2 linked regions of the Caenorhabditis elegans genome follow. The protein of the gene in region 1 interacts with the protein of each later gene in a biochemical or structural test. Each region holds a gene or a part of one and is shown on either strand. Other genes may lie near its edges. The genes, in order: rbx-1 and ubc-1.

The links.
Region 2: of the proteins of rbx-1 (region 1) and ubc-1, one has a biochemical effect on the other in vitro, tested with the Caenorhabditis elegans proteins (one study listed by BioGRID).

Annotation. Positions count from the first base shown.
Region 1 is NC_003283.11:9,688,898-9,692,560, forward strand, and holds rbx-1 (RING-box protein 1), read right to left. Parts: upstream 1,626-3,663; 5' UTR 1,624-1,625; coding exon 1,549-1,623; intron 1,499-1,548; coding exon 1,292-1,498; intron 1,107-1,291; coding exon 1,056-1,106; 3' UTR 789-1,055; downstream 1-788. Other genes in the region: ztf-9 (C2H2-type domain-containing protein), read right to left, coding at 2,251-2,654, 2,703-2,934, 2,993-3,080, 3,130-3,239. UniProt on the Caenorhabditis elegans protein: Component of the SCF (SKP1-CUL1-F-box protein) E3 ubiquitin ligase complex, which mediates the ubiquitination and subsequent proteasomal degradation of target proteins.
Region 2 is NC_003282.8:4,100,803-4,104,728, forward strand, and holds the start of ubc-1 (Ubiquitin-conjugating enzyme E2 1), read left to right. Parts: upstream 1-2,217; 5' UTR 2,218-2,233; coding exon 2,234-2,284; intron 2,285-3,197; coding exon 3,198-3,587; intron 3,588-3,926. Other genes in the region: C35B1.2 (SWIM-type domain-containing protein), read left to right, coding at 133-306, 562-623, 1,058-1,205, 2,019-2,093. UniProt on the Caenorhabditis elegans protein: Catalyzes the covalent attachment of ubiquitin to other proteins.

The sequences.
Region 1 (3,663 bases):
ATATATAAATATGTAGCTAAGTTGGAGAGTACGGTAGGTTACGGTGTGATCGCGGTGAGATATCAGGTGATTATAAACTATATAGTTTAAGTAAGCCCAAAGCCCAATAGCGGCCTGAATATACCTCGTTTTTAAAGAAACGTTTTAAGTTACTTCAGAATGAAAAAAAAACAGTCTAGAAGTATTGGGAATTAAATTTTCGAGTGGCAGTTATATTAAAAAAAATAAACCGATGTGTATAATTTTCATTGAGTTTTGCCCTACTTTGTGAACTTCAACACTTCTAAATATGTATGAACAATTTTGTGCAATTTGGCATTCGGAGGAACTACTGTATCTGAAATCGTGGCAGGACCCAGCCAAGAGAAGTAGTGTGCGCCTTTAAAGTGATACTTCACTTTTCATGAAGTTAAGAATATCCGCAATTTAGCAACGTCGATTATTGAACAATAAACGTTTGTAGACAGTTTTAAAAGCAGAAAATTATCTTGGTCTATATTAATGAGAGAACTCTACAAAAATCAGTATCCAAAATTTAAAAAAAACTTTGGCACAGAAACGAACAAGCAATCGTAATAATCAATTATTACGGAAAGGAATACGAAGAAGCGGCGAGAAATGTGCTGCAATTCGGTTTTGAACGTTTTAGCCGAATTGCAAATAAATTACGCGAGACGAGACCTCCTCCTTTTGCTCCGGCGGCTTGAACGGTGCCCGCAACCTGAACCTAAACAGCCTAAGCACATAAACGGCACGAGAATTGTCTCGTTGAGAATTATGAGACCAGAGGACACAGTTCATATTTATATTTTTAGCGGAGAAAAATTAAATATTCAAGCGAGGAAGGATGATTTTAGAAGGTCAGAAGGGATTGGAGATTTGAATAAACAAATGAAAAGTGTCAGATCACATAGAGACTAACACGTCTGGATTTTAATGTGCTTTTTTTTGGGACGAATACATATTCACAAAAGGAAATAGAAGAAAAATCAGTGAATACAAGTAAAAAAGTGTGAAGAAACTGCCCGGGCGGTTGGCAGAAGAATGAAGATCGATTAGTGTCCGTACTTTTGGAATTCCCACTCACGATTGTCCAATGGGCATACCTGAAAAGATAGAATTAGAAAATGTGTAAGCTTTTTGAAATGCTAGTTACGAGTACTTAGTAATTGAAAAAAATTAAATTTTCAAAAGTTGTTTAACAAAAATGCATGCGGCAGGCTTCTGTTCCGCTTTGACATTTGAATAAATATCATTTTTTCAAAAATAAGCACGTTTAAAAGCAACCTACCTGTCGTGTCTTCAGCCAACGAGAAATGCAATGGAAGTGGAAAGCGTGATTACAGTTTCCCCATGCAACGGTACACTCATCCTTGAGCCCGGCTGCTTGATTCGCTTGGCACTCGATGCACAGATCCATGATGTGATTGCGGCAAATAGCGCAGTTGTCGACCTGAATGTCCCAGGCCCAAAGTGCGACGGCACTCCATTTCTTGACCTTAAATTGCACTATGTTTGTTAAAGCATGTAACATTGTATCTGTGTTACCTCGAAACGCTTCTTAACTGTCTGATTTGTGGCCTCCTCGACCTCCATAGCTGTGCTGTCGCTTGCTTGGGCCATTTCTGGAAAAAATACAAATGAGAATAACAGTAATCATTTCAAAATAAGAGCGCAAAAGTAGCATTGATGATATAATGAAATACTTAATATTGAACATGTTTATGCATACTATAATACTATAAGCCTAAACTAAATAGAGGATATGATTGATAAAATTGTTGTATCAGATTTTATGAAAAATTGTACCCTAGAACAAGTGATTCACGAACCTAATACAACATTGTTGTACAAAGCCGCCGATAGAAAATGAGGAAACATGAAGGACTTGACATTATTGCTAATATGTATTGAAAAAGGAGATACGCTGTTGTAAAATAAATAAAATGAAATCAGACTGAGCAACACTGCCGAAATTCTTTCGAAAGAATCATCAAAAACGCTTGTCTGCACACACCAGACGCTACGCGCATTTGCGTACACCGTACTCACCTATTTTCTGTCTTCACGCTTTCGCTTTCTTTTTAAAATTTACTCGTCGCGTCTTATTTCTTGCCGAAACGAACAAAGAAGAACAGGTTAAAAAGAAAAATTGTATTTAACAAAAATAAACCGTATCAGTTAGTATTTTAACAGTAATTCTAACAATTGGGACGATGAGAAAACAACTTTTAAATCGTTTCAAGATATTTATTCTGGCAAATCCGTGTATCCAATTCTCTTTTTCTTTCGCTCCGGAAAACATTTTTCAGTAATTTCTTTCAGCTTGTTTCCTAGATTTTTTCGATAGTCAATAACCATGTCGCAGTCGATGGTTCCGTCGGGTCTCTCGTGATGGCTTTTTATGTGCTTGATCACATCAGATTTTGCAATTGTCTGCCATTTTCTGTGACAGATTCCGCACTCGTAGAGCTCATATTTTCCGTGACGCGTATTTGCATGATACACCATGCTTGATCTTTGTTTGGAAACAACGTCTCCACAAAGAGAACATTGAATTTGTTGCTTCGGCTTGATCGGACCACCGCCATCAGATGCTCCCTCGAATGAAGGACCGGCTCCACGTTCTTCTTCGTGACGTGCCAGAGTTTCGTCTGAATTAAATCCAAATGAGTGGGAATCATTATTATGTGTAAGTTTACCTAGAAAGGCATGATAAGCATTATCTACGAAGACAACAGGAGAAGATGACTGAATAGGTGTGCCAGTTGCTTCTGAGTTTTCGACTTTGACTCTGTTCTCCACTGTGCTTGACACCGCATCGCTGATTTTCCCTTCAATCCGCATAGATCGACTCATTGCAATGCACCGTTCGAGCTTTTGGGTCAGTTCCTTCTTTTTCATACTCAACTCCGGTGTGTAGCGATATTTTATCTGCAATTTAAATTATTGTTGAATTTTTTTTCTGCGTCTCTCAACATTGGAGACTTACAGAAAATTCGGTGAGTCCATGATCATTCATACAGTGACTGACAAGGGCGAATTCCGTTGGAAACTTAGCGTACTTACATTTTTCGCATCTAAAATAGTAAAGCTACGTTCACCACATATTAAAAGTTAAAGACTTACTCATATGGGCATATGTTAAGATGATCACTAGCAATGTGTGCTTCGAGATCTTCCAGTGTGTTGTAGGCCTCAGTTTGAACGCAATCTAGACATCCCAGTAGTCGGTTCATTTTTTGAATGTAATAAATATATTCTGCAAATTTAGTAATATAGATTTAGAAGCGAACGGTTAACAAAATGTGTTCGAAATCAACTGAAGACGCGTGGAAAAAGGAAAAGAATGGTGAGAAGAAGAAGGAAGGAAAATGGAGAGAAGGGGGTGGTTTTGTGTGTGTGAGGAGGAGAAGAAGGCCGGGCGGGCAATGGCCAGTCTCTTCCTCCTTTCTCCTTCCTTTCTTCTCCTCTTTCTTCTTTTTTCTTCTTCTCATCGCTCGGTTCGCGCTACATTGAAACGGAGAGAGAAAGGGAAAGAGAGAGGACAAAAATGCGACGACTCGTCTTCTTCCTATCTCTTTCTCTCTGCTGTGTGTGTGTGTGTGTTTTTGTGGCGATAGGAAAAAAAGAAAAAGGAGCGGGATGGGCGGAAGAAAAGTG
Region 2 (3,926 bases), on another chromosome or scaffold:
CGAGTGATTGCAGACCACACACCAAATTTCACGAATATTCGAGATTTTGAGCTGAAAATTAACTCGTAAACTATTTAAACTATACTGAATCCGAATTTTCAACTGAAAATTCCAAAAATCAATATTTTCCAGATAATCTGCCGCCGTTACAATGGCCAAAAGTACAGCCAGTCGTTTGGATTTGTGCGGAAAATTTATTTGCTCAAAATTTTGCCACTATGCCCGCCAGAAGTCGCTGAGCAACTTCATAATCGAGATTTGGCAGTAATATCGTATTCCTACAGAAATGCTCCGCATCCGACGTTTGTGAGTGGAGGAAATCTGGAAAATTTGCGAAATTTCGAAGGATAAGTAGAAAAAACACTGAAAAATTGACCCAAATTCTGCAATTTTCAAGATTTTCCATGAAAAAATGTCTTCAAATTGAGAAAATTTGTGTTTTTCCATAAAAAAAACCGCGAAATTTCAATTTTACATCAAAAATCGAAAAAATTATCCAAATTCTGCTCAGAAAAGCCAATTTTCGAAGCTTTTCCATCAAAAAACTGTAAAAATTTGCAGATTGAGCAACCGGATAGGCAGAAGCTTCCAGATGGTCAACGTGTTGGTGAAGAAGTTGAATTGTTAGTTTTTTTTTTTTTTTGAAAATTTGAATTTTCAGGAAAAATGTGGATTTTTTGAGGTTAAAATTCTGAAAATTAAAATTCCGAAAAAAAAACTTCGGAAAAGTTCAGAAAAATTAATTAAAAAGAAAAAAATCCGGAAAAAATGTCTAAAATTTTTGAAAAATGAATTTACACAAAAATCTGAAAAAAAAATCACTTTAAAGAAATTTTTAATGCCAAAAAGTTTCAGAAAAATATCAAAAATTAAAACAAAATCTGTAAATTATTTAAGAAGTAATGAGTTTTCCAAAAAATTAAGAAAATAGTTTTTTTTTCTGAAATATTTAAATTAATTTTTAGGGATTTTTCAAAAATCTCAAATTTTCTATAAAATCCATAAAAATTCCCAAAAACTTCTCTCTAAGAAATCTATCAATTTCAAAATTTTTCAGAGTTTCCGGAGATGTGATGTTCGACGATGATATTAGTCCAGAAATGCGAGAAATGGTTGAAAATATGGAAAGAAAAAAGAAAATTAATTCGGAAAGATTAATGGAATTACTACAAAGAATACATCGAATTGATCAAATTTGTAAAAAAGTACGGATTTTTTTAGTCGAAATTGATTTTTTTATAGCTGATAATTAAGTAAATCAGAATTTTTACCTTAAAATCGTGAAAAAAATTGAGCCTAAGTTGAATATTTTGTACTGAAAAATTGGAAAATTTCGGCTTTAAATTTGAATTTTTCTGAAAAATATTATAAAATTTGCATTTTTCCAGAAAAATTGGACTTTTTTACTCAAAATTTTGATTTTTTGAAAGTTTTCAGTTAATCATTTCGAATTTTCCGGAAAACCTAAAATTCCAGTTTAAACTCAAAATTTTCACCGAAAACTTCAAATTTTTCAAATTTACCAAAAAATTGACATTTTCAGTGAGAAAATTGAAATTCCAAAAAAAAAAAAAAGATAAAAATCAAAAATTCACCGAAAATTTGAATTTTACTGAGAATTTCACGTTTTTTTGTAAAATTTTAAATTTTTGGAAAATTGATTTTTTTTTAGAAATTTTTAAATTAAAATTTAGAAATTTCCACTAAAAAAATCAAATTTCATTAAAAATTCATTAAAATTTTTTTTTTCACTAAAAAAGTTCGATTTGAACCAAAATTTTCTAATTTTCAGTTAGAAAATCGAATTTCAATGAAAAATTCCAAAAAATTCAAATTTTCAAAGAAAAATTTGACATTTTTGGCAATTTTCCAGCATTTTCATTTAACATAAACTGAATTTTTTACGAAACATTTTCGAAAGTTTCCAATTTTTACGGAAATTATATTCCAAATTTGCACTAAAATACGAATTTTTTTGGGAAATTCCAATTTTCTACCTAATTTTTCGATTTTTGCAGGAAGCTTGGCTGGAATCGTCGGCAGAAGTTCAACAACTCACACAAATTGCTCAACTTTTGCATTATTGTCAATAAATGTTAAAAAATATTTTCTTTAATTTTTTGATTTTTTAAAGGTTGCCGTACCTTTTTTCATACTTGTTCTAGCATTTTTCTGCATTTTTTCGAATTTTTAACCTAATTTTCACATTTTTTGCAGGAGTTAGGTTATCAATATGACGACGCCCAGCCGTAGACGTTTGATGAGAGATTTTAAGAAACTTCAGGTGAGTTTTGAAATTTTTGGCCCGAAAATTTGGCTTTCTTTGAACATTAGAGAACATTTGCAACAAAAATTGGTTTTTTCCAGAAAAAATTAGATATTTTTGGGATTTTTGATAAATTTCTCGTGAAATTTTTAAAATTAAAATTGCCAAAAAATCGCCGAAAATATCCATAAAAACGGCCGAAAATGTCCAAAAAATCGCCGAAAATTTCCAAAAAAAAATCGCCGAGAATTTTCCAAAAAAATTGCCGAATTTTCCAAAAATTCGTCGAAATTCTCCGAAAAATCGCCTAAAATTTCAAAAATATCGCTTAAAATTACCAAAAAATCATCGAAAGTTTCCAAAAAACGGTCGAAAAGCACAAAAAAAATGCCCAAAATTTCCGAAAAATCGTCGAAAATATCCAAAAGATTGCTCAAAATTACCAAAAAAAAAAAAAAAATTACCAAAAAAAATCGTCGAAATTACTGAAAAATCGCTCAAAATTTCCAAAAAATCATCGAAAGTTCCCAAAAAATCGCCAAAATTATCAAAAAATCGCCTCCAAAAAAATTGCCGAATTTTCCAAAAATTCGTCGAAATTCTCCGAAAAATCGCCTAAAATTTCAAAAATATCGCTCAAAATTACCAAAAAATCATCGAAAGTTTCCAAAAAACGGCCGAAAAACACAAAAAAATTGCCCAAAATTTCCGAAAAATCGTCGAAAATTACCAAAAAATCGTCGAAATTACCAAAAAAAAAATCACTTAAAATTACCAAAAAACGGCTCAAAATCATTAAAAGATTGCTCAAAATTTCCAAAAAAAATCGCTCAAAATTCCTAAAAAACTGAAAATTTTCCAAAAGAAAGGTTTCTTTTAATTTCCAAAAAAAATCGCTCTAAATCCCCAAAAAAACGACCAAATCTTTCAGGAAGATCCACCAGCAGGAGTATCAGGTGCACCAACAGAAGATAATATTCTCACATGGGAAGCAATAATTTTTGGACCACAAGAAACCCCGTTTGAAGATGGAACATTCAAATTATCACTGGAATTTACTGAAGAATATCCAAATAAACCGCCAACCGTCAAATTTATTTCCAAAATGTTCCATCCAAATGTGTATGCGGACGGATCAATTTGTCTGGATATTCTACAGAATCGATGGTCTCCGACGTATGATGTTGCCGCAATTCTGACATCGATTCAGTCGTTGCTCGACGAGCCCAATCCAAATTCACCGGCCAACTCACTTGCCGCACAGCTTTATCAAGAAAATCGACGGGAATATGAGAAACGTGTTCAGCAGATTGTTGAGCAGGTACACAACCCTGAATTTTGGATGAAAATCGGCGAAATTAGAGCTCAAATATTGAAAATTTGGCAGTTTTTGACCCGAAATCGAGAAATTTCACCCCAAAAATTGAAATTTGGCTGAAAATCGATAACATTTAAGTTGAAATACGAAAATTCTTAAATTTTCATCTAATGTATGCAAAATTTGGCTTTTTGTGGTTCAAAATCGTAAAATTTTACCCTAAATGTGGAAATTTAGCTGAAAATCGATGAAAATTGAGTTAAAATTAAAAAATTTTGGAATTTTTATGCCAAAACTGAAATTTTGAGAAAAATTAAACGTTTGGCTGAAATTCGGCTGAAA